Linked DNA regions of Macaca fascicularis. The protein of the gene in region 1 interacts with the protein of each later gene in a pairwise test. Links are inferred from orthologs where the notes say so. Each region holds a gene or a part of one and is shown in the gene's direction. Other genes may lie near its edges.

Evidence for each region.
Region 2: the proteins of EHHADH (region 1) and MID1 interact in binary tests that used the Homo sapiens proteins (3 or more experiments, as listed by UniProt). The two-hybrid records come from large-scale screens. The link is inferred for Macaca fascicularis from reciprocal best matches to the Homo sapiens genes EHHADH and MID1.
Region 3: the proteins of EHHADH (region 1) and SSNA1 interact in binary tests that used the Homo sapiens proteins (3 or more experiments, as listed by UniProt). The two-hybrid records come from large-scale screens. The link is inferred for Macaca fascicularis from reciprocal best matches to the Homo sapiens genes EHHADH and SSNA1.
Region 4: the proteins of EHHADH (region 1) and DES interact in binary tests that used the Homo sapiens proteins (3 or more experiments, as listed by UniProt). The two-hybrid records come from large-scale screens. The link is inferred for Macaca fascicularis from reciprocal best matches to the Homo sapiens genes EHHADH and DES.
Region 5: the proteins of EHHADH (region 1) and CAT interact in a two-hybrid assay, tested with the Homo sapiens proteins (2 studies listed by BioGRID, with this or other methods). The link is inferred for Macaca fascicularis from reciprocal best matches to the Homo sapiens genes EHHADH and CAT.
Region 6: the proteins of EHHADH (region 1) and FUNDC1 interact in binary tests that used the Homo sapiens proteins (3 or more experiments, as listed by UniProt). The two-hybrid records come from large-scale screens. The link is inferred for Macaca fascicularis from reciprocal best matches to the Homo sapiens genes EHHADH and FUNDC1.
Region 7: the proteins of EHHADH (region 1) and TRIM41 interact in binary tests that used the Homo sapiens proteins (3 or more experiments, as listed by UniProt). The two-hybrid records come from large-scale screens. The link is inferred for Macaca fascicularis from reciprocal best matches to the Homo sapiens genes EHHADH and TRIM41.

Annotation. Positions count from the first base shown.
Region 1 is NC_088376.1:97,125,400-97,127,876, reverse strand, and holds the end of EHHADH (peroxisomal bifunctional enzyme), read left to right. Parts: coding exon 1-662; 3' UTR 663-1,977; downstream 1,978-2,477. UniProt on the Homo sapiens protein: Peroxisomal trifunctional enzyme possessing 2-enoyl-CoA hydratase, 3-hydroxyacyl-CoA dehydrogenase, and delta 3, delta 2-enoyl-CoA isomerase activities. Catalyzes two of the four reactions of the long chain fatty acids peroxisomal beta-oxidation pathway.
Region 2 is NC_088395.1:10,521,261-10,525,217, reverse strand, and holds the start of MID1 (E3 ubiquitin-protein ligase Midline-1), read left to right. Parts: upstream 1-1,157; 5' UTR 1,158-1,300; intron 1,301-3,957. UniProt on the Homo sapiens protein: Has E3 ubiquitin ligase activity towards IGBP1, promoting its monoubiquitination, which results in deprotection of the catalytic subunit of protein phosphatase PP2A, and its subsequent degradation by polyubiquitination.
Region 3 is NC_088389.1:2,127,392-2,130,711, reverse strand, and holds SSNA1 (microtubule nucleation factor SSNA1), read left to right. Parts: upstream 1-1,132; 5' UTR 1,133-1,205; coding exon 1,206-1,257; intron 1,258-1,546; coding exon 1,547-1,746; intron 1,747-2,271; coding exon 2,272-2,379; 3' UTR 2,380-2,820; downstream 2,821-3,320. Other genes in the region: ANAPC2 (anaphase-promoting complex subunit 2), read right to left, coding at 1-583, 896-1,012. UniProt on the Homo sapiens protein: Microtubule-binding protein which stabilizes dynamic microtubules by slowing growth and shrinkage at both plus and minus ends and serves as a sensor of microtubule damage, protecting microtubules from the microtubule-severing enzyme SPAST.
Region 4 is NC_088386.1:115,353,388-115,356,186, forward strand, and holds part of DES (desmin), read left to right. Parts: coding exon 1-197; intron 198-2,104; coding exon 2,105-2,148; intron 2,149-2,799. UniProt on the Homo sapiens protein: Muscle-specific type III intermediate filament essential for proper muscular structure and function.
Region 5 is NC_088388.1:31,108,615-31,111,271, reverse strand, and holds part of CAT (catalase), read left to right. Parts: intron 1-1,028; coding exon 1,029-1,136; intron 1,137-2,657. UniProt on the Homo sapiens protein: Catalyzes the degradation of hydrogen peroxide (H(2)O(2)) generated by peroxisomal oxidases to water and oxygen, thereby protecting cells from the toxic effects of hydrogen peroxide.
Region 6 is NC_088395.1:44,596,139-44,600,189, reverse strand, and holds the start of FUNDC1 (FUN14 domain-containing protein 1), read left to right. Parts: upstream 1-1,251; 5' UTR 1,252-1,278; coding exon of another isoform or gene 1,279-1,306; 5' UTR 1,307-1,409; exon of another isoform or gene 1,410-1,600; 5' UTR 1,601-1,675; coding exon 1,676-1,721; intron 1,722-2,007; coding exon 2,008-2,164; intron 2,165-4,051. UniProt on the Homo sapiens protein: Integral mitochondrial outer-membrane protein that mediates the formation of mitochondria-associated endoplasmic reticulum membranes (MAMs).
Region 7 is NC_088380.1:188,328,865-188,332,282, forward strand, and holds the end of TRIM41 (E3 ubiquitin-protein ligase TRIM41), read left to right. Parts: intron 1-509; coding exon 510-740; intron 741-1,253; coding exon 1,254-1,276; intron 1,277-1,474; coding exon 1,475-1,602; intron 1,603-2,016; coding exon 2,017-2,618; 3' UTR 2,619-2,776; downstream 2,777-3,418.

The DNA of each region.
Region 1 (2,477 bases):
AGGTAGATCAGGTGCTGGAAGAGTTTGGTTTTAAAATGGGACCTTTTAGAGTGTCCGATCTTGCTGGGTTGGATGTGGGCTGGAAATCTAGAAAGGGGCAAGGTCTTACTGGACCTACATTGCCTCCAGGAACTCCTGCCCGAAAAAGGGGCAATAGGAGATACTGCCCAATTCCTGATATGCTCTGTGAATTAGGACGATTTGGCCAGAAGACAGGTAAGGGTTGGTATCAGTATGACAAGCCATTGGGTAGGATTCACAAACCCGATCCCTGGCTTTCCAAATTCCTATCACAGTATAGAGAAACCTATCACATTGAACCACGTACCATTAGCCAGGATGAGATCCTTGAGCGCTGCTTATATTCACTTATCAATGAAGCATTCCATATCTTGGGAGAAGGTATAGCTACTAGCCCAGAGCACATTGATGTTGTCTATTTACATGGATATGGATGGCCAAGGCACAAGGGCGGACCCATGTTCTATGCTTCCACAGTTGGGTTGCCCACAGTTCTAGAGAAGTTGCAGAAATATTACAGGCAGAACCCTGATATTCCCCAACTGGAGCCCAGTGACTATCTAAAAAAACTGGCTTCTCAGGGAAACCCTCCCCTGAAAGAATGGCAAAGCTTGGCAGGCTCCCCTAGCAGTAACTTGTGATTCAGCCTTCCAGATTATGCCTCACATGCTAGCATCAGGTAATGCTCACTGAATTTCAGTGAAATTAAATCAAAAATCCAAAGTAAGATTGTTCTGAAATACAAAGCAAAAGAAATAATCAGTAGAGTCTTCTGTGTGACGACTCTAATGGTCAAATCTTTAGGAATGTGCTTCCTATGCCTCTGAATCTGTCCTTATCAGATAAATTCAATGCATGAACTTGTGTGAATGTAATATCATAATCGCTGATGAAAGAGGCTCAGGCATAAGTTGAGATTCTCAAATGTTTTGATTATTGGATACATGTGTCATCAATTAATAAATGATAAATGCAGCTAAGTCATACATTGATTTTGACTCCTTTCAATGTCACACACATAGTATTGATCAGAAATCTTATGAATCATACATACACTCAACAAACATTGAAGTCGTAGGAAAAACATGGTTGGAAATTGGTAAGGGAACTGAGTACTTCAAACCAGCACAGGGAACTCAGATTAGTATGGCAAGCCTTTCCTCTTCTGGTCTTTCCTCTTCTGTTTATGAAGAAATAATAGAAAGGAGTAAGTCGTTAACTTAGTGTAAGAAGGGTCTTAGAGAACATCTAACCTTCTGGAATTTCCCAATTCTATGATAGAGTAATGACGCCAGTTTCCCTGTCATGACAGGCCTCTGTGATGTTACATATGGAAATGGTTGAATCTTGAAAAATCTAAAATTGTTGCAAAACATATTTTGTATAATTTTGTTATAAGAGTTCTTCTCTTTTTACTTTTTGCGTTGTGTAGTCAAAAATTAAGGGGCTGGTCAATACAAAAACTTGTACACAAATATTTATAGCAGAATTATTCATAATGGCCAAAAGTTGGATACAACCCAAATGTCTATTAACTAATGAATAGATAACTCTGGTATATCCATACAATGGACTATTATTCAGTCATAAAAAGAAATAAAGGACCAGGCACAGTGGCTCACACCTGTAATCCCAGCACTTTGGGAGGCTGAGGCAGGAGGATTGCTTGAGGTCAGAAATTTGAGACCAGCCTGGGCAACATAGCAAAACCCTGTCTCTATAAAAAATACTTCCTGTACATTAGTGGTTGCCTAAAGCTAGAATTAGGGATGATGGATGGGGAGTACAGGATTCATCTAATAGGTACAGGATTTCTCTATGGTTCATGAAAATGGTCTAAACTTATTGTGGTAATGGTCACATAACAATATATTAAAAACTATTGAGTTATATATTTTAAATGGGTGAATTATATGGTATGTGAATTGTATCTCAATAAAGTTGTTAGTAAATAAATGGGGCTGAAGATGTTATCCTTCATTGTGGTGGAAATGAACTTTCACAATATTTTCACCTGTGAACCCAAACAAAATGAAAGTTCTGATGGAAAAATCTTGAATGAATAGAGTATAAGTTTTCCGTTGTTAAAGAGCAAACAAAAAACCAACAAAAAATCCAAGTGTGCCTTGAATTGTACAGAGCACAATTATTACGTTTGAAATATATACTACTTAATTTTATATAATTTGGTTTGTGAAATTAAAGACATCAATGAAAATGATTCCTGAAAGTAGTAATTTTGTCTCCAAAGTGACTTGTTTTCAAATTAATGTTAAAAAAAAACCCACTAACTTTTTCTTCAATCCTGGAATTAATTTTGAGTTCTTGCAACTTATTTTCACCCTACACTAGCCTCTAGATTGAGGTTTTGAAATTAGAGCGTCTATGAATAGATTTTATCAGTCAATAACCCCTGAAATGTTATGATAAAGTTTGTGTATATGTATCTGAGTACA
Region 2 (3,957 bases), on another chromosome or scaffold:
CAGAAGCTCTTTGACATTGGTTTGTGTTGGTGCTCACTTAGGTGGCATCTGAAGATTCATTTTCTCGCTTGTCTTAAGCAGAGACCTAAAACAGCCTTGAGCTATTTTTAATAATGTTGCCACTACTCAACGAGCAGTCAACCCATGGATGAAACAAAAACAAGTGTTTTGTTTTGAGATAGGTCCTTTTTAGCAGACAATCTTCATCTCTAGTACATAGGAAAGTCTCAAGTCTCTATATTGTCTTCAGTGGAATTGGCTAGAATTTTTTAAAATTATTACTTTACTAGGTGGTAGATAAAATGTAAGGGGAAGAGCTATAGAGTTCTTTTAAAGATATATTTTCTTGTCTTCTTAAATCGAGGAAGTTGTTTAAAAATGTTTACATCCAAGTATGCAAATTCGCAAGTCTTAGATTTCTTTCCTGAAACCATCAAATAACACATCAGCATGCGGGCTTAGGAGGGTTGTTACTGGAATAGATGTCATTATCTATCATTTTGCCCATCAAAAAATACAGTAGTGATTACTGCATTGTAAAGGGAGAAAACTCAAAATGATTGTTTTGCATTATCTACCAAAGGCCTGGGAAAGTTGAATAAGTGTTCGTTACTATGCTCAAATAAGGCATTTGAGCCTTACTTGATGGAGGTTTATTCACATTCTCTTTCTGTCACATGTTCTATTTACTTCTTTGAAAATAATCTCAAGTTCAATTACTCTGGTTTTAAAAACATGAAAGACAACTTATAAAATGCTACACTTTTTTCCCCTACAATGCCTTCAGATAATATAAGGCTGGTCACAGCCCATGATATAAAATACTAGCTGTTGACTCACAGTTACACTACAAGGGCCAATTTTACAGACTGCCAGGATAAAGATGATTTTAATTAAATTGCACAAATCCTTTTGTACTGCAACCAAACCCCTACGCAGGCTGACCGACTCTGAGCCATTCTGGCGTGTGTAGAGTTAACCAGGTTACCAGGATTCCTAGTTAACTTCTTTCACCAGGAATGCAATTCATGTTTACCTATATAAGGAAACCTGTTAGACTGACCTGAGTTTGGCGGATTTTCGCGCTGACTGAGAGGCGTGTAAGCACACACCCTGGAGAGGGGGAGTGATTCTGAGCTGGACAGAGCAAGCTTCCTGAACGCCCCAGCCATTCAGCTGATCCGAGGCAAAGAGCCGGCACTTGCCCCAGACCAGCCTGCTTGGAGGACCTACAGGTTTGTCTCTTCCAGATCACAACTGAGGAACAAAAACCCCTGTCCTGGGAAAAATGGGGAAGCCGGTGAGTCTTACCACTCTCTCTCTGCTTGCTTCTGCTAAGTGGCACGCCTGTCTGCTCTCACCCAGGAAGCAAAGTAAAAGGCGTTGCTCAGCCTCTAACCCCACAACTCCTTCCTGAACAAATACAATGCTTTGCGAATACCTCCACACAACTTTTTCTGCCTGTTTTGCACACCAAGAATCCACAGAGGGAATGATTTTTAGCACTTTAGACATTCCAGAGAGTGTTTTTCCTAGGCAAGCGTTTCTATACTATCGTGATGAGCAAACTTTCTCATCTTTGTTACACTCTAAAACAGTGGAAATTAGCCTTGGGGTGCTTTGTGAGGAAGGCTGAGTCCCCAAGGAAGTGATAGTAAATCTAAATGGGGTTCTTAAAACCACAGGCAGTGTGATGGTCTACAAAAGCCTAATTTGTCACTAAAAAGGCAGTCTGAAGGTATCATTTTTCATTCACACAGCAGCAAAATCCTTGCGTCCTGCATATGTAATAAAGGACACCTTCTGAGACACTTAGGAAAAATAGAAGCCGAGCTGGCCTCTTTGTTCTAGACAATGTAAAGAAGCTCGCTCTTGTGTTTTGACAAGGAGCGTATGTCTATTTTTATATATGGCGAGAATGGTGTATAAAGGCTTTATGTCAAAGGTATTGTGGTCACTTGAGTCAAAATCTGGCTATATTCTCTATGTGTACAAAAATCTCAATCTGAATGTAATTAAACATGGAAATGTGAAATTGTTTAACAGACTTGCAGGGAAATTTTAGTTATATTTGGAAACAGCCAATTATAAGAGACAACTGGGAAAGGAAAAAAATTGTTTCAACTGAGTTCTGGGGCAGAGGTAAAACTTTTGCAAAGAAAGTCAATTTTTTGTAGCTGTCAAAAGTGATTTGGAATCAGGTAAAAATTTTTATTTTTATTTTTTCGTGGTGATGTGGTTTTTTGAGTTGAATTAACTTGGATAATTGTGTTGAATGATTTGACTGCTCGTCTTTCAAAGGAATACTGTTGTTTTCTGTCATATACAAACTTAATCCTGAGTTTGGGCAGCAGGTTTGTGCTACTGACTGCAACAAGTGGCACAAAGACTCAATTTCAGATTTCTGATATTATGAAATTAATTACTTAAGTTAATTTAAAGAAAAGTAATCAGTGCAAACAAGCAGATTTGAGAAAATGACCACCTTTTTAAAAAATGCAAGTGATAGTCCATTTCCTAGTGAGACTATTGATTTCATACAGGCATTGGCAACTGCCTAGTCATAGGGACAAAAGCTATGGCCAATTTTCTCTAGGATCTTTGACTCTAGAAAGCATAACTTTCGCAAGGACACAGTTTAAATGAAACTTGTTCACCTCCGTGAGAATGAAACATAGAAAAGCACCGTGTATAATACAATGGACATTTTAGTAAATAAAATTCTTAATAGCACAAGCAGCAGAACAGAAGGGACAATGCAAATGTTTTAAAGTTTATCTCCTCAGTGCTGCTCAGAAAAATATGAGTCTTGACATTCTGTTGCTGTCAATGGGAGTCAGCAACCCAGGAGACACAAAACACTATTTTAGAATATACAGTTAATAACAGATGGTTTAATACCAGGTTGTCTCACCCTGCCGATGAGATGGCCCCAAGCCAAATCAGCCAGCACGTCTGCCGTTTTTCCTGTGAGTTGATATGTACATAGTTATTATGCACTAATTATACTAACAGCCAAGGGAATATATAACCAGAAAGACAGATAAGTCTCCTGGGGTAGGGAGGGCAAGGGGGCGGTGTATGCATAGGGTTTTTAGATCTCATGTTTAGAATTATCCTTGCCAGTGGCATATGAATTATTGCAGATGACTGGGAGTCTCACGGCTAGAATCTACTCATCCCTGGCTCCTCAGCAGCCTGTTTGGGGGTAATAATATTGTTTATGGTATTTAACAGTTTAGTGTTAACAAAGTTCCAGGAGGATTCCTTCTTAAAGATTAAAGTTTTTCCAGTGTCTGAACTAATCCTCCAATTAAAGACAGTTAGGACCTATATTGTTGCATTGACCCTTTTCGAGTCACAGTACTGTGTGCTTGCATGGAGGGTTGAACGATTCAGCAGCCTCCTTAGATCTGCAAGATGTTATTAGGTGCCCTGGTTAAAAGAGGTTGGAAAATACTGGAGAAAAAAAAAAAAAAAAACAATGGGAAATAGGTCTTCTCAGAGCCTTAATATGTTCATTTACTAATACGTGTTTTGACTCCCTGAGAGAAGTATAGTGTGCACCATATGAAGTATGGTTTGCTGCAAACCTACTTGACGGCTCGTTTCTAGGGTGATCATTCTGAGAAACGATCTGATATTATGAAATTAATTAGCTTCTCAATGGATGGACCACAGAGCACTGGTAAATGATGAGTGGGTTGCAGACATACCCAGTTGTTGACCCCTCTTGGCACATGGGCCATCAGGCTGTGGCTGGCCTGAGCTGATCCCTGGAAAGTTATTTCTGGATCACATAGCTTCCTCAGTTTACCTCCATATATGGTGCAGATTGCATCAATTTCTCTGTCATGATGTTTTAAAGTTAGGAAACTGCCTTTGACAATCTAGGCCCAGAATATTGATCAAACCAATCAAAATACCCCAACACTGTATTAACTTGGGCCTGGGGGC
Region 3 (3,320 bases), on another chromosome or scaffold:
GACACCAGCACTGTTGCTTGTCACTGCTGCACCCTGCGCACAGCGGGCTCTGCAGGAGCCGGTAGTACCGGCGACGGGCATACCGGCTGTCCAGCTCCCCCTCCAGTTCCGGGTCTGTGCCCCCTTCCCCCTTCCTCTTACTCTGCATATAGACTCTCAAGAAGCACCCATACAGACGCTGGATCATCTCTTGGAAGGTTCTGGGGGTACTAAAGAACAAGACTCCGCGCAACATAGTGTGGACTTTTTCTCGCAGCCCCTGAGCACCAGTGCCCATCAGCAAGCCCAGGCGAGTCCATTTCTCCAGCAGCTCTAGGCTACGCAGGTAGGGATCCAGGCGGCTCTCCAGCAGGCCAAAAGCGTCAAGGAGCAGCAGAAGGCACTGGGGCTCATCCGTAGAGTTCTCGCATTGGGAGATGGCATTCCAGAACTCAGGGGAGATGTTGGCCTGCAGATCGTTCTGCAGCACCTCTACGAACCACTCCTCCAGGACCGAGTGCAGGCCGTGGCCCCTCAGAACCTCCACCGCCGCCCGGAGCTCCTCTTCCTTTGGCGGGACTGCACCGCTGGTCCGGGAAGACACCTGGAGCGCAGAAAACCGTGAAGCGAGGGGAACACAACATAGAGGTGGGGAGAGGCGGGGAAGGGAAGAAGCTGAGGGGTAGGCTGCAAAAACTCCGCTGCCCCCTGTCCGTGGTGTCCGGACGTTGGGCCGAAACTAGGGAAGGGCTGCCAGCGGAGCTGAACGAAATGAAGTGGAATGGCGGTGGAAAGCGGCAGGACAGGGCAGAGGCGGATGACGGACAGAGCTGTATGAACCCGAAGGTGGCCGCCCCAAAGTGCATAGGGTCCCGGAAACTCCGCGCGGGGCCGCCGCTCTCTTCCCAGGCCTCACCAGCCCCAGCGCAGCTGGCGGCACCAGGCCGGTGCTCACGGTATTCCAGGCCACTAACAACTCCTGTCCGGGCCGGGAGTCGCTGTCCCCCTCCGCCACCACAACTGCCGCCGCCATCTGCAGCCACCGGCTCCGAGATCCCCTCGGCACGGCGCAAAGCGATGACGCAAGTCTGCACGCGCAGCCATGACGCGCACAAGGCGCTCAGCGATGACGCGTAGTTCGGCGCGCCGTCAGGGAGTCGTGCGCAGGCGCGGACAGCGCTGGTTCCGCGTCGGTTGGGGTGGCGGGGCCCCGGGCGGCGTAGACCATGACCCAGCAGGGCGCGGCGCTGCAGAACTACAACAACGAGCTGGTCAAGTGTGAGCGGCGCAGCCGGGACGGGGAGGTCGGGAGGGCCGCAGGGCCGGGTTCCCGGCTCGCAGCGGGGTGCCCCTGGACCCGCCTAGTTGCGGGCATCGCGCAGCTGAGCAGAGCCCTCCGTGCCGGGGGCTGGGTGTCCGTGGCCCCGAGCCCTCGTTGGCTCGCAGGCCCCGCGCCGGGTGCTCGGGGGTGGTGCCTGACTCTGGCTTCCTCGGGTGGAAGGAGGCCCGCCCTCCGCCGCCGCGCTCCTGCCCTGGGCCCACAGCCCCGCCCCTCCTGGCCCCCCAGGCATAGAGGAGCTGTGCCAGAAGCGGGAAGAGCTGTGCCGGCAGATCCAGGAGGAGGAGGACGAGAAGCAGCGGCTGCAGAATGAGGTGAGGCAGCTGACGGAGAAGCTGGCCCGCGTCAACGAGAACCTGGCACGCAAGATTGCCTCTCGCAACGAGTTCGACCGGACCATCGCGGAGACGGAGGCCGCCTACCTCAAGGTGGAGCTCGGGAGGCCAGGCGGAGCATCAGGGGATAGCCGCGGCAGGGGTGTAGCCGCGGCAGGGCGTCAGGACCGTCTGGGGCTCCCAGCTGTGGGCAGTCTGTGCCTCGCTGACATGTCGGGCAGGAGCAGCGTGGCCAGGCCCATTGAGGAACCCAGGCTGCTGCGGGAGTGACCGTGGGGCTGTCTGGGGGACCTGGGGCATCCTGGGTCCTGGTCTTCATCCGGTTCTCGCTAGCCATGTGGTTCTTTCTGCTTAGAGTGTGAAGAGCCACGTCTTGGGCCAGTGCTAACCCAGCCTGGCTTTGAGGGTGGGGAGGAAGTGTTCTGGGTCAGATTCAGGAGGGAAGAGGGCCCTGTTACCCCGTCTGCCAGTCCCCTTGGGCTTCCGCCTTCCCCCGCACAGGATCCCTTGGCTACAGCACCCACAGCCAGGTCCCAGAACCTGAGTGTGAGGACAGCTGGGGCTTAGGAACTTCCCAGCAGGTGAACAGTAACAACTTCCTCACTTCTCTGGCCCCAGATTCTGGAGAGCTCCCAGACTTTGCTCAGCGTCCTCAAGAGGGAAGCTGGGAACCTGACCAAGGCTACAGCCTCAGACCAGAAAAGTAGCGGTGGCAGGGACAGCTGACCAGACCACGGGCAGGGCCTGCCTCTGTGCGCCCCTCACCTCAGCCCCGACAAGTCTGTCCTCAGAGCGTCTTTGTTCTTCACAGCAGCAGCTGCCTTCCCTCACTGTCCCCGGTGCCGAGAGGGGCGGCTGCCAGCCTCTACTGGCATCATTGACAAGCCAGGGCACAGCCCACCCAGGGGCTTTGTGCTCACACGGGCTGTGGGGATGGTGGGTTCCAGGTCAGCTCTGCAAAGGGCCTGTCTCTGTGGCACCCACACTCCTGCCCTGCTGGGGAGGCCCTGGTTGTCTGTGCACCATGGGGGCCCCCTCAGCTTGTCCCTCCTCAGCCAGCAGAGGCCCAGGGCAGGGGACAGGGGTTCTCCTTCACCCCAGAACCCAAACCTCAGGGCTCACCCCTGTGGCCTGTGATTATCAATAAAGATTATCTTTGTAAAGGTCCGTGCCAGCCTGCTGCTTGCCCGTGTCAACAGTGTGGGGCTGCCAGACACCTGCAGAGCCAGAGCCTGAGGCTCCCCCTTGGGAAAGGAGGGAGGAGGCGTCTGGAGTGGTCTCCCTATGACTGCCCAACTAGCCTCAGGGACACCGCTGAGGGTGCCCACCCCGCCCAGGCCAGCGCCACCCTCGGCCCTCCCCAGCAGGGCCGCTGGTCCTCTTCCCCTGACTGGCCCACAGCTCACCCTCCTCTCAGCTCTGCTCGCTCGTCCTGTTCTCTGCCACACCCTGGTGTCCAGCATAGGACCCAGCCCAGAGAGACAGCTAGGGATGCCAAGCATATCCAGCAGCTGCCTCAGACTCAGGTCTCTCTCAGCAAGGACTGGGGGGGCTTCACACCCCCTACCCCCACCAGTTCCTCCTTGCAAGTCCTGCTTGGCCTGATGACACCACTGCTGCCACCAGGCCCTGCTGCCCCTTTCCCTGGCCGCACGCCAAGCACTGGC
Region 4 (2,799 bases), on another chromosome or scaffold:
CGGGAACTGGAGGACCGATTTGCCAGTGAGGCCAGTGGCTACCAGGACAACATCGCGCGCCTGGAGGAGGAAATCCGGCACCTCAAGGATGAGATGGCCCGCCACCTGCGCGAGTACCAGGACCTGCTCAATGTGAAGATGGCCCTGGATGTGGAGATCGCCACCTACCGGAAACTGCTGGAGGGAGAGGAGAGCCGGTGAGGGGCCAGGCAGGAGCCGGAGTGGGGAAGTGGGTGGTGCTGGGTGGCCCATTCCTGTCCCCAGGAGGCTACCTCAACAAGACATGGAAACAATTTTTTTTTTTTTTTTTTGAGACGGAGTTTCGCTCTTGTTGCCCAGCCTGGAGTACAATGGCACCATCTTGGCTCACTGCAACCTCCACCTCCCGGGTTCGAGCAATTCTCCTGCCTCAGCCTCCTGAGTAGCTGGGATTATAGGCACCTATCACCATGCCTGGCTAATTTTTGAATTTTTAGTAGAGATGGGGTTTCACCATGTTGGCCAGGCTGATCTTGAACTACTGACCTCAGGTGATCCACCTGCCTCAGCCTCCCAAAGTGCTGGGATTACAGGCGTGAGCCACCGTACCCAGCCTGGAAACAATTTTATACAAGAGGCCACTGCTGTATTAATTGCAGAGAATTAACCAAGGCCACCTGGGTAAAAAGCAATTTAATTAACAGCATTTATAAAAAGAGAAATATAAGTATTCCCTTATCCACCTTCAGAATTAAGAACCAGTAGCAAAAAAACATATTCAGCAACCAATAATAAAATATTACTGCCAGTCAAGGGAGAGATGAAAGCAGAATGGGGAGAGATGAGGAGGGAAATGGAGGGAGCAGTTAGAGGCAAATAGAGAGAGGGAGGGAGAGAAGCCTTGCACAGGGATAGGCTAAGAGAAGGTAAAGAGATGCATACAGAAGGCATGAGTGTACACACACATGCACACACGTAAGCACACGCACATGCTCGGAGGAAAAGACATAAACTTCATGCTCAGAGCAACCCACCTCTAGACAGAAAACAATATACAACTGGAAAGGGACACCAGGGAACCTTGTGGGATAACAGAAATGTTCTATATCTTTTTTCTTTTTTTCTTTTTGAGACAGAGTCTTGCTCTGTTGCACAGGCTGGAGTGCAAGTGGCGTGATCTTGGCTCACTGCAACCTCTGCCTCCCAGGCTCAAGTGATTCTCCTGTCTCAGCCCCCCTAGTAGCTGGGATTACAGGCGTGTGCCACCACGCTCAACTGACTTTTTGTATTTTTAGTAGAGATGAGGTTTCACCATGTTGGTCAGGCTGGTCTCTAACTCCTGACCTCAAGTAATTCGCCTGCCTTGACCTCCCAAAGTGCTGGGATTACAGGCATGAGCCACTTCACCTGGCCTAGAAATGTTCTATATCTTGATTTGGACTGGTAGTTACACAGACGTGGACATTGATCAAAACTCATTGAATTGTACATTAAAGATCTGTGCATTTCACTGTATGTAAATTTAACCTCAATTTAAAACAGATCAATTACTCCAAAAACTGGTACCCCCTGATACTCATAAAAATAATATCTGAAATTTTTGAAAAACAGAAGACATGTTTAGATATAGGTATACACATAAAGAGAAACTTCAGATTTAGTAAAATGACGTCTTCATGTGATGGCCTTTGAAGGTAGCTAAAGGCATGTTACGTTTTCCCAGCATTAGGCCTAAATAGTAAGCTCTCAGAACTGGCCTGGCTGGAGGGTGGGCATGAGCAATGGATATCACCCACAGCTGCTACTGATATGACTTTCAGTGCCAGAAGCAAGAAGGAAATCCTGGTGCTCTGGAGGGTGCAGTGGGGTTGCGCATCCTGGTGTCATGCCAGCAGGTCACAGTTGAAATGAATGATCCTTCCAGAAGAGACTATTCCTGGGACAGCTCTAGCTGACCTTTGACCCCATTCCTTGAGCAGTATGGGTGGCGGGAGTGCTGGGGTCCGTGGGACTGGGACAGCTGAGGATGGGGTTTAGAAAGGACCAGGGTGAGCCTTGATGGGCGGTCTCAGGGAATGATGGGAGGTTTCTTAACTCTTAGGAGGCTTGGTCTCTTCCCTTTTAGGATCAATCTCCCCATCCAAACCTTCTCTGCCCTCAACTTCCGAGGTGAGTGTCTGCTGGCAGGTGGAGGCTGGAGTTGCAGGGGCCAGGAGTCCAGCATGGGCACTGCCCGAGGCCAGCCAGGAGGGAGGATGGGACCCTGGGGCCAGGGAGGACAGACCTGGAGTCTGGGGAAGAAAAAGGGGGCCCCTGCGGGTAGGTGGGGGAGTTTAGGTAGAGGTGGATGAGGCACCTTATGACAGAGAGAGCTTTTTATGTGATTATATTGTATAGTATTTACCATGTCCCCTGCACCTTCTTGGAGTATTGGGCATCAGGAAGCAGACTCTGTTCTGAATCCCAGACTCTGAAAGTAGCAGGAGTGTCCTTGGGGACCTGGCTTCAGGAAGATCTCATACCACCTGCCTTCTAAGGCACCCACGGCCCATTGTCTGTTTGGCACATTGCCAAGCACCACCTTGGTTGCTTGTTGAACACCTCCAGTTTGCTGGAGCAAGATGTTGGATGCACGTTGGAAAAGAAAAGCCAAATCTTAGCAAAGCCAAACAATGAAAAGAATGAGCTCTTAGGGCATTCTGCCATTCTGACATTAGTAATATACAGATCGGGTGGCTTTCCAACCCCAGAGAGCAGAGAAACACACGATAATGATGCATTAGGAAAGCAAGTCGGAGTCCTTGGCAGCTTCTCCTTTCC
Region 5 (2,657 bases), on another chromosome or scaffold:
CAGTTGACATTTTCACAAAATATGTCAAATACAGCTGAAGAGAGAATTAGTGAATTGGAGATAGGCCTGAGAAAATCCCCAGGATATAGTACTTTGATTAGATTGTGTTATGTCTGATTAACTTCGGTAGCAGGTTTAAACTTTACTCAAAAATTTAAAAACATAATTATAGCCTGATATTTGATGACTTAGGGAAATGATGCATCTCTTAATATGTTATGAAGGTGATACTTTGGATAATTGGATATTATTGGACTTTATAAACATTAATAGAACAGCACATAGAACAGAGTCTGGCACATTATAGATACTCAATATTTGTTGAATGAGTGGAATGAATGAATGAAATGTAAGAATAAAATCATAGCTACAACGTGTTTCAGAATTGGGCAGAGGCTGCTTGGATTCACATACCTGATACTAAGCTCCTATTTTTCATTTTAATTTATGGATATTTATTTTAGAGGCAAACCCAATAATCTAGCAAAATATCACTATTCATATGTTTTGCCTAAGAAATATTGGCTTCTGAATAACTATAGATGCACATGTATAAATGAAGTAGTTTTTAGATATATTATCTCTCTCTATATATAATTACATATCTATATATCAAATTATATCTCTAGCTAAATTAGTTTTTATTTCCCTCCATGGTTCTGGGTGAATTGAACAAAGGTTGTATTGTGCTAAGTTTACATTCAAAGGCAGCTTGCACATTTTAGACTTGTCAGTATTAAGCATGTGGTGAGGTTTTAAATTGTAGATCTATTTATAAGAGATTTATAGCAGTTACTATAAAGGATATTATTAGAAAGCAGTTAAGAGCTATTAATAAATGAATTTTACTTATTTTGCTTAAAACAAAAAATGAACACAACCCAAATGACAGTTTTAGTTAGTAATTTAAAATTATTCTTAAATTCTAACTTTTTTTATCATTGATTTCATAAGTGTTGTAGTAGGTGAACTTTGTTGGTGATAAACTGGTGATTCGAGTCTCTGCACTTGCTCTTTTCCCTGAGCAGGTGCGGGCATTCTATGTGAACGTGCTGAATGAGGAACAGAGGAAACGTCTGTGTGAGAACATTGCAGGCCACCTGAAAGATGCACAAATTTTCATCCAAAAGAAAGCGGTGAGTCTTTGTAAGCTGAAGGGTGCCCTCTGCTGGCATGGGAAGACAGTGCAGCTGTGTGGGAGAACCCTAAAAAGAAAGTGCCATTTCTATTGTACTTGACCTAGGAGGACTTAAAAAAAAAAAAAAAAAAAAATACTAGTAATCCCCAACCAACTTCTGATTATTTTCTTTCCGTGTTTTATCTGGTCTGGCATATCCATTGGTCCTTTGCTGTTTGTCCAATGTGTACTAATTTAGTTGTGTTCAGAGTGAATTTTATCCTATGCTGTTTAATTCGGCTGCAGCCAAGTTCTGTGCAAGATAGTAAATGTCCAATATCAAAATTTGAGTCCTGCTGCAATTCTACTTAAACTTTGGATGATAATAAATAAATCAGCTGGTGTGATGGCGTGTACCTGTAGTCCTAACTACTTGGGAGCTTGAGGTGGGAGGATCGCTTGAGCCCAGGAGTACAGGGCCAGCCTGGACAACACGGGGAGACCCTGTCTCTAAAATCAGTCAATCAGTCAATCTGTCTGTCTGTCTTTCTTTTTTGCATTTTTATGGTTTGAAACCTGCCTAAAGGCTTAATGTCATGATACCTCGATCCTCCTTCAGATGCAAACTAGAAATTTGCATGATTTCTGGAATAAGAACTGCAGTGCTTCCAAAAGGCAGGCTGGACTTTTGTGCTAAGGTGCTGGGGTATTTCTGATGGTCGCTCATCGAGCTCCATGAAGCCCTCTCACTTCTGGTTTCCTGGCCTGTCCCAGAGCTAAGCTTTTTGCAAATCTAGAAATCCCCCTTTTTCCTTGGCCCCTAGTTGCTTCTTCTCTGTTCCTAGGGGCAGCTGGGCTAGCAGCTGTCTGGGCTGTGTCCAAGGGCCTGGGTTCAAGTATCAGCAGAGAGCCTGACGGGCTCTCTGTGCAGTAGGCAGGGTGGGATTTATCTTCTTTTACTGGAGAGAATGGATAAGACAGCTTGCAAGTAGCAGAACTGAGCTGGAACCCTTGGCATTCTGCTTTCACATATGCTGAAACTGTAAGGCTTTTATGGGTTCCCAGTGCCATGCCTCCTCTTGCTGTCTGCTGGGGAATTCCTGCCTGAAGTATGTGGAGTGGCGCTGCCATGTACCAGTGTTCTTGTATCCTTCACATTAGGCTGTGTCTGGGCCCGTTTCTCAATATAAATCGCTGTAACTTGTTAAGCGCTTACTCTGAGGTCAGCTGTTTCCATGCAGTAAATGCAGCTCACCTCTCGGCATTTTTCTCACAGCATCCTGTGAGGTAGGTTGTGTGGGTTTTTTTTTTTTTTTTTTTTTTAAAGATGAAGTCTTGTTCTGTCACCCAGGCTGGAGTGCAGTGGCATGATCTCGGCTCACTGCAACCTCTGCCTCCTGGGTTCAAGAGATTTTCCTGCCTCAGCCTCCCCAGTAGCTTGGACTACAGGCATGCCCCACCGTGCCCGACTAATTTTTGTGTTTTTAGTAGAGATGGGGTTTTGCCATGTTAGCCAGACTGGTCTTGAACTCCTGACCTC
Region 6 (4,051 bases), on another chromosome or scaffold:
AAAGACTATGGCAATAGGGGTGAGTGATGGGTCTCAACTCTGAATATAGCAGGGAATTTTTTTTTTTTTTTTTTTTTTTTTTTTTTTTTTTTTTGAGACGGAGTCTCGCTCTGTCGCCCAGGCTGGAGTGCAGTGGCCAGATCTCAGCTCATCACAAGCTCCGCCTCCCGGGTTTAGGCCATTCTCCTGCCTCAGCCTCCCGAGTAGCTGGGACTACAGGCACCCGCCACCTCGCCCGGCTAGTTTGTTTTTGTATTTTTTTAGTGGAGACGGGGTTTCACCGTGTTAGCCAGGATGGTCTCGATCTCCTGACCTCGTGATCCGCCCGTCTCGGCCTCCCAAAGTGCTGGGATTACAGGCTTGAGCCACCGCGCCCGGCCTATAGCAAGGAATTTATAGTAAATGATCAGAGTGAATGGATCAATGGGTGGAAGATTACCAAGAGCAGACATGAGGGGTAGAGGTATTCTTGCTAAGTCAATTTAACAGGATTTTTGCTGGTGGCAGAATGATCAGATATCAAGGGTGGGGTTGAGGAATTTGATCGGATATTGAGGGTGATTCGATTTTTTTTTTTTTTTTTTTTTTTGAGACGGAGTTTCGCTCTGTCGCCCAGGCTGGAGTGCAGTGGCCAGATCTCAGCTCACTGCAAGCTCTCGGCCTCCCAAAGTGCTGGGATTACAGGCTTGAGCCACCGCGCCCGGCCGAGGGTGATTCGATATTAAGGGTGGGGGAGTTCTCACTAAACTGACTTAACTAGATTCTTGCCACAAATGGACTAGGCAGGTCAAAGACGACCCAAGGAGGAGACTCAGTCAAAAACAGCTCAGAGGAGCCTCCTGACTAAAGTTTGGTCAAGAGAGTCTTTGTCAATACCCAGCTGGTTTTCCCTTTGTACCACCATGTAGCGCCCTTCCCCCCATACCTTCAGCCCTTAAGGCTCTTTAAAACAAAATAATCAAATTCAAGTTATGGAAATTCGAGGAGGGGCGGTCCCTCCCCCTTCCTAGTTGCGGAAGACAATGGACTACAAGTCCCCTGCCCTCTCGCGGGGCTATGATCCGACCGGCCCTGCCCACATTCCGGAGTCTCGCGCGTGCGCAGAAGGCAGAAGGTCCTGCGCTGAGAGAAGGGGGCGGAGACAGGACTACGCGCCTGGAGTAGGAGGAGGAGGGAAAAAGAGACCATAGATTTCCATCCTTGCCTAGAGCGGCCCTTAAAGTGCCAGGGACAGGAGGGCGGGCGGGGACCACTCCAGAATTGGCCGCTGGCGGTATCATGGCGACCCGGAACCCCCCTCCCCAAGGTGAGCGGCGAGGGCCTGAAGTGGTATCTGGGACGCGGCTCACAGCTCTCGACCTTGCTCCCATGGCACCTCTTCCTTCCCCTGCCCTAGGATTCTTCGAACTGTATATATTTTTTTAAGTCAGCCCCTTTGAGCACCCCCTCCGAGCTAGACTTTTTCGTCCCCCTCCGGAACTCAAGCGGAGAGCCCCCCCCCCCCCCAGCACAGCCCTACCTACCTCCTGCCTTACCTTCACCTCCGGCCCTTTATCTCCATCTTCAAATGTATTATTATTTTCTTTTTTTAAACGTCTAGACTCAAGTGATTTCGCTGGGCTCCAGACTAGTTATCTCAGAGGAGGACCCCTCCCCACCTCCATTCCTTCCACTGATGAAAATGGACCCTGCTCTGACCTTGACCCTACTAAGATTTGGAGGTTGGGGTGACCCCTCACTACTGTGTCATTTCTGAGTTGGCCCTGGCTTCGTGACCCCAGGCTGGTCCCTGGGCCTTTGGGAAAGCAGATGGGGGTCATTGTTGTAGGGCCCTTTACTCTTGAGGCCCTGGTCTCAGGAATTGAGTTAAGTCAGTAGTTTCCATGTGGGCATTTTTAGCTGTAGGCCAAAAGTAATGAGTTGTAACAGATATTTAAAAAGATGTATGGGACATTTCTGACTTTTGATTGACTCTACATTTATTTTTTGCATTTTGCTATTTTGAAGAATATGAAAGTGATGACGACTCTTATGAAGTGTTGGATTTAACTGAGTATGCAAGAAGACACCAGTGGTGGAATCGAGTGTTTGGCCACAGTTCGGGACCTATGGTAGAAAAATACTCAGTAGCTACCCAGATTGTAATGGGTGGCGTTACTGGCTGGTGAGAACAACGTCTTTTTCATTAAATTTCATTTGGGGGCCTGACACTGCTGACCTTTCATACATCGGGAAGAGTCACCGTGCACATGCAGTGGGTCTACACTGTTAATTCTGGAAGAGGCTTTTCTCTGAGTTAAAATTGATGTAATCTACATGCCCAGGCTCCCTGTTGGGTTTTGGCGATCCCCTCCCCCATGCCCACCGCTGTTCCTCTCCTCCCTCCTCATCCTTCTTTTGATTCTTCAGCAAATGTCGTGGATCTGATTCAGTGATAGTAGATAGGAAGAAATATATGAGTTAATTATATGTAAATTTTTACATTTCATTCAGTGCTAACTACTGAAAAAACCTAAGAAACTCCCACGGTAGAAGTGGCCTCTAGTATTGTCAGCCCTGTACAGAGCAGTGTAAAATGCTCAGTATGAATTATTGGTGATGATACAGATGATTCTGTTTTTTGTGGGCTCGTTCAGATTATGATAACTCTTTGAAAAAGAGCTGTAGAACATTAGTTCTGTGTTGAAATTAAAGGTCTGATTGCTTACTTGGGAATATTGTGGAGTCCATTAAGAAGTGGTTAATAACCATCAGCCTGACCAGTTAACATTTCAGACCACGTGATAACACAATGGCTACTGTGGATCTAATTCTGTTCTTATAATAAAAAGGCTAGCCAGATAACAAGGGGCAGAAACAAATTTGACTGTTTTGAAAATGTTCGTGAATGTAGAGAAATTTTGGAGTTAGTGAGGGTGCTTAACTTGTGCATAAGCATTTTTTCTTAGATTCTCTTTTAAGTTCATCTTACATTGATTTAACTGAAATATTTACATGTTTCCACTTGATAAGTATAACGAGTGTTTTTATTTGTGTTTTACATGCACCTTGGAATAATGACACACTCCTCTATGCCTTTTTGCAAATGCCATTTTATGATAGAAATACTCATTTTCAAGATTCTGTGTTGCAGAGGTGCGGCATTTATTCATGATATGTACTTACTAATGCTGCTGCAGGAAAAAAGCCTGCAATTAGGAGAGAGATGCCTGTCAGGGCCTGGTCATTCAGATGATTCTCCACAGGCAGATAGTTCCTCTAGCCCTGTAATTCAGGGTATGGCTCTCTGCTTAAATAAGCTCACAATTTGGTGCCATGGGTGATTGGTTAATGTCAGTCAGGGCCTAAAGTCCAGTCTTAAAACAGACTAAAAAATAATTGAGAATAGAATTATCAAGTCATTTCATTGTTTCTCCTTGGAGACCAGACTCCTTGTAGATCAAGCCCCATCACTGGCAGAAGTTTGCTCGGAAAGCCTGGAGACAGAGCAGCAGGAGATAGGTTCATTGTAGTGACTGATGCCATCAAGCAATGGATATACATGCTTGTGGAGCACAGTCCGAGGGACATTGTGGCTGCTGCCTGCCTTTTCTGTTCCCTTTTCTGTGCCTTTGTTGCTGACTCCCCTACTGAGGGGCACATTCTTTATGGTAATACAGTCGTCCCTCAGCATAGGATACCAAAATCTGCAGATGCTCATGTCCCTGATATAAAAAGGCATAGTATTTGCTTATAACCTGCACACTCTCTGGTACACTTTAAATCATCTCTTAATTACTTACAACACCTAATACAATGTAAATGCTATGTAAATACTTGTTATATGGAATTTTAAAAATCCGTGTTACTTTTTATTTTTTTTGTCTTTTTTTTTCAAGTTTTGTGCCCTGATTGGTTTAATTGTAGATGCGAAACATAAAGAGAGCTGACTGTGTGTGTATGTGTGTGTGTGTGTATATATATGTATATGTATATATGTGTATACATATATACGTGCATACACGTGTATGTGTATATATGTATATGTATATATGTGTGTGTATATATAGAA
Region 7 (3,418 bases), on another chromosome or scaffold:
CTCTTCTGGTTGGCGCTATGTCAAGGTCCGAGGACACTGTGGCAAACAAAGACATTCCTAGTCCCTGCCAACCGGAGCTTATGGTACAGTGGGGGAAAGATGTTAAAAGATATGTCATTTAAACACAACATTTCAGTGTCGTATGTGCCACAAAGAGATACAGGGAATTTGTGGGGATGGTCCTGATTTAGATCTGGAGAGGAGGGAAGGCTTCTTTTGGAATATTTAAGGTTGGACCTGAAGGATGAGTCAAGGTATGTAGACCAGGTGGAGAGGAGTGTTCCAGGCAGAGGTTAGTGAGTTTGGGGCCACTGTGCTGGGTGCAAGGGGTGGTATCTGGTAAGGCTGAGAAGTAAGGCCGGTAGGAGATGAGCCTCTTTCCAGGACTTTCTTGGACTTGGGGAGTATAGGGCTCCTTTGCCTTGCGTTGAGAAGTGGTAGTTGCAAAACTGGAGGTTATCTTCCTGTGTGTTGAGGTGGTATCTGTCATCCCCTTTGCACCATTCCAGAGCCAGATGAAGTCAGAGCTGGCAGCGGTGGCCTCCGAGTTTGGGCGGCTGACACGGTTTCTGGCTGAAGAGCAGGCAGGGCTGGAACGGCGTCTCCGAGAGATGCATGAAGCCCAGCTGGGGCGTGCGGGAGCTGCGGCCAGTCGCCTTGCAGAGCAGGCTGCCCAGCTCAGCCGCCTGCTGGCCGAGGCCCAGGAGCGGAGCCAGCAGGGGGGTCTCCGGCTGCTTCAGGTGAGCAATGTCCCCTCCCTGTTCCCCCAGCACTCCGTGTTGGCTGTCAGGCAGTGCTTACCAAACACCTGTCCAGAGCTGCCTCTTCTCACTGGGAGGAACCCACAGTGATTGAACCTGAAGACCAAAAACATGTTTTAAAGCTGGAAACAGTTAATGTCGAATGTGGTATGTGTGACGATTATACCAGTGAAAAGCATGAAGATTCGGTTGTAGGAGAGGTTTAAATGACAGTTGAGGAAAGGCTTTTTGACAGTGACATCCTGAAAAAGGTGAGCAGGTCATATTGTGGAAATGACAGGATTGGTGGGCTCACAGCAGGAGAGGCGAGTTAGGCATGGCGAGGCATGGGGTGGTTGAAGTGGATGTGTGTTCACTGAGGCCGTGAGCGTGCTGCCTCTCCCTTCCTGCTTAGGCTCAGTCTCTGACTGGAGATCGGGAAAGCTGTGCCTGTGCAGCTGACGCTCTTTATCTCTTTCTCCCTCTCCCTCTTTTTGTTTCTCTTATTCCCAGGACATCAAGGAGACTTTCAATAGGTGTGTTCCCGCTCTTTGCCCTTTGTGACCCAGTGGCATCTGGTTCCCGTCCCTGCTTCTCTTGGGTATCCCTCTCCTCTCCTTCTTCCCCAGGACCTGAGTTTCCATCTCCTGGACCCTCCTCTCCTTCCCCTCAGCTTTTGCTCTTCCCTCTGGGAATATCATGGTCCCACCCCCTGCCCGGTCCCCTTCCTCCAGGTGTGAAGAGGTACAGCTGCAGCCCCCAGAGGTCTGGTCCCCTGACCCGTGCCAACCCCATAGCCATGACTTCCTGACAGATGCCATCGTGAGGAAAATGAGCCGGATGTTCTGTCAGGCTGCGAGAGGTAGGGAGGTCACCTCCACGACCTTCCTTTGCCTTTCCCTTCACAGACCTGAGACTGGGTCCTGAGGGAAGTTGGGTCCCAGGGAAAGTGTAGGGGTTGAGATGGAGCAGGATACAGGCAGCCACTCAGGTTGAGGTTTCAAGCCATTAACAGGTAGTCCTAGTCCAGGCAGGCCTGGAGGGTGGGGGTGGGGTAGAGTGGCAAGAAGAGCCAGGCTGGGGGAAGACCTGTCAGGTGTCTGAGGAACAAGAGGAGAGAGAGGGAGCCTGTAGGAAGCTGAGGCTGGCCTCTGGGATGGTGTGGGGAGCTGAATTCAGGGAGGAAGCGGGCAGGAAAGGCCCAGTCTGTGGAGTTGGCTGCTGACAGGGGAACAGCCGTTCCAGCCCTGGCGTATTTGTCCTCCCTCCTCCCAAGTGGACCTGACGCTGGACCCTGACACGGCTCACCCGGCCCTGATGCTGTCCCCTGACCGCCGGGGGGTCCGCCTGGCAGAGCGGCGGCAGGAGGTTGCTGACCATCCCAAGCGCTTCTCGGCCGACTGCTGCGTACTGGGGGCCCAGGGCTTCCGCTCTGGCCGGCACTACTGGGAGGTAGAGGTGGGTGGGCGGCGGGGCTGGGCGGTGGGCGCTGCCCGTGAATCCACCCATCATAAGGAAAAGGTGGGCCCTGGGGGTTCCTCCGTGGGCAGCGGGGATGCCAGCTCCTCACGCCACCACCATCGCCGCCGCCGGCTCCACCTGCCCCAGCAGCCTCTGCTCCAGCGGGAGGTGTGGTGCGTGGGCACCAACGGCAAACGCTACCAGGCCCAGAGCTCGACAGAACAGACGCTGCTGAGCCCCAGTGAGAAGCCACGGCGCTTTGGCGTGTACCTGGACTATGAAGCGGGGCGCCTGGGCTTCTACAACGCAGACACTCTGGCCCACGTGCACACCTTCTCGGCTGCCTTCCTGGGCGAGCGTGTCTTTCCTTTCTTCCGGGTGCTCTCCAAGGGCACCCGCATCAAGCTCTGCCCTTGATTATCCTGCCACCCGCGGGGGCCCCTCTGGTCAGCACTTGGGGGGCGGGTGGTGGAGGGTGGCCCGTAAGTTTGAGGGGCTCAAAGGCTCTTCCCACTGTTTGTCACTGTGTTGCTTCCCACTCCCCCTTGACCCCAGGCCCCTGCTTCTCCCTCTAGGAGCCTAAAGAACCCTCCTGGCCTCCAGCCCGGCCTTCTCTCACCTCCTATGTCTGTCCAGCAGGTCTGCATGGGTCCCTGATAATGAGAACAGCTGCCTGGTCTTCTCTCCCAGTCTGCCTAGCCCAGCCCTGGGACCGGAATTTGAGTAGGGGATGAGGGGAAATTGTAATTTCATTCCTTAAGTTCCTTTTCCCCACCCCTGCTCTTCAGCCTCTGTCAGTTCTGAGGCTGGAGGGTTTGGGCAAGACAACATCCCCATTCCAATTCCATCTTCTGATGCAAATTTTAGCTGAGGGATTTGGAAGCCATTTGGGGAGGCAGGCTGGGCCAGAGGGTAGAGCTGGGTAATAAATGTCTATTCTCTGGGGGAGGAGGGATTCTAAACTTTCCTTCCATCCTCAATTTCTACCTCCATAGACCGGCCAGAATTTAGCTTCACTTGAGAGAGATCTGGAATGGTCGCCATGATTGAAACCACGCACCATTACATCGCCCAATAAATTATTTCTTCCCCCGTCCCCTTTCCAGCACTCAACTGAGGAGCAAAGCTCATCCCACCCCCACCCCTCCCAGGTCTGTTCACTGCCAGGCTCCTTTCCCTTGTTCAGTGGAGCTGGCTTTTCTCCCAGCCCCTTTCCA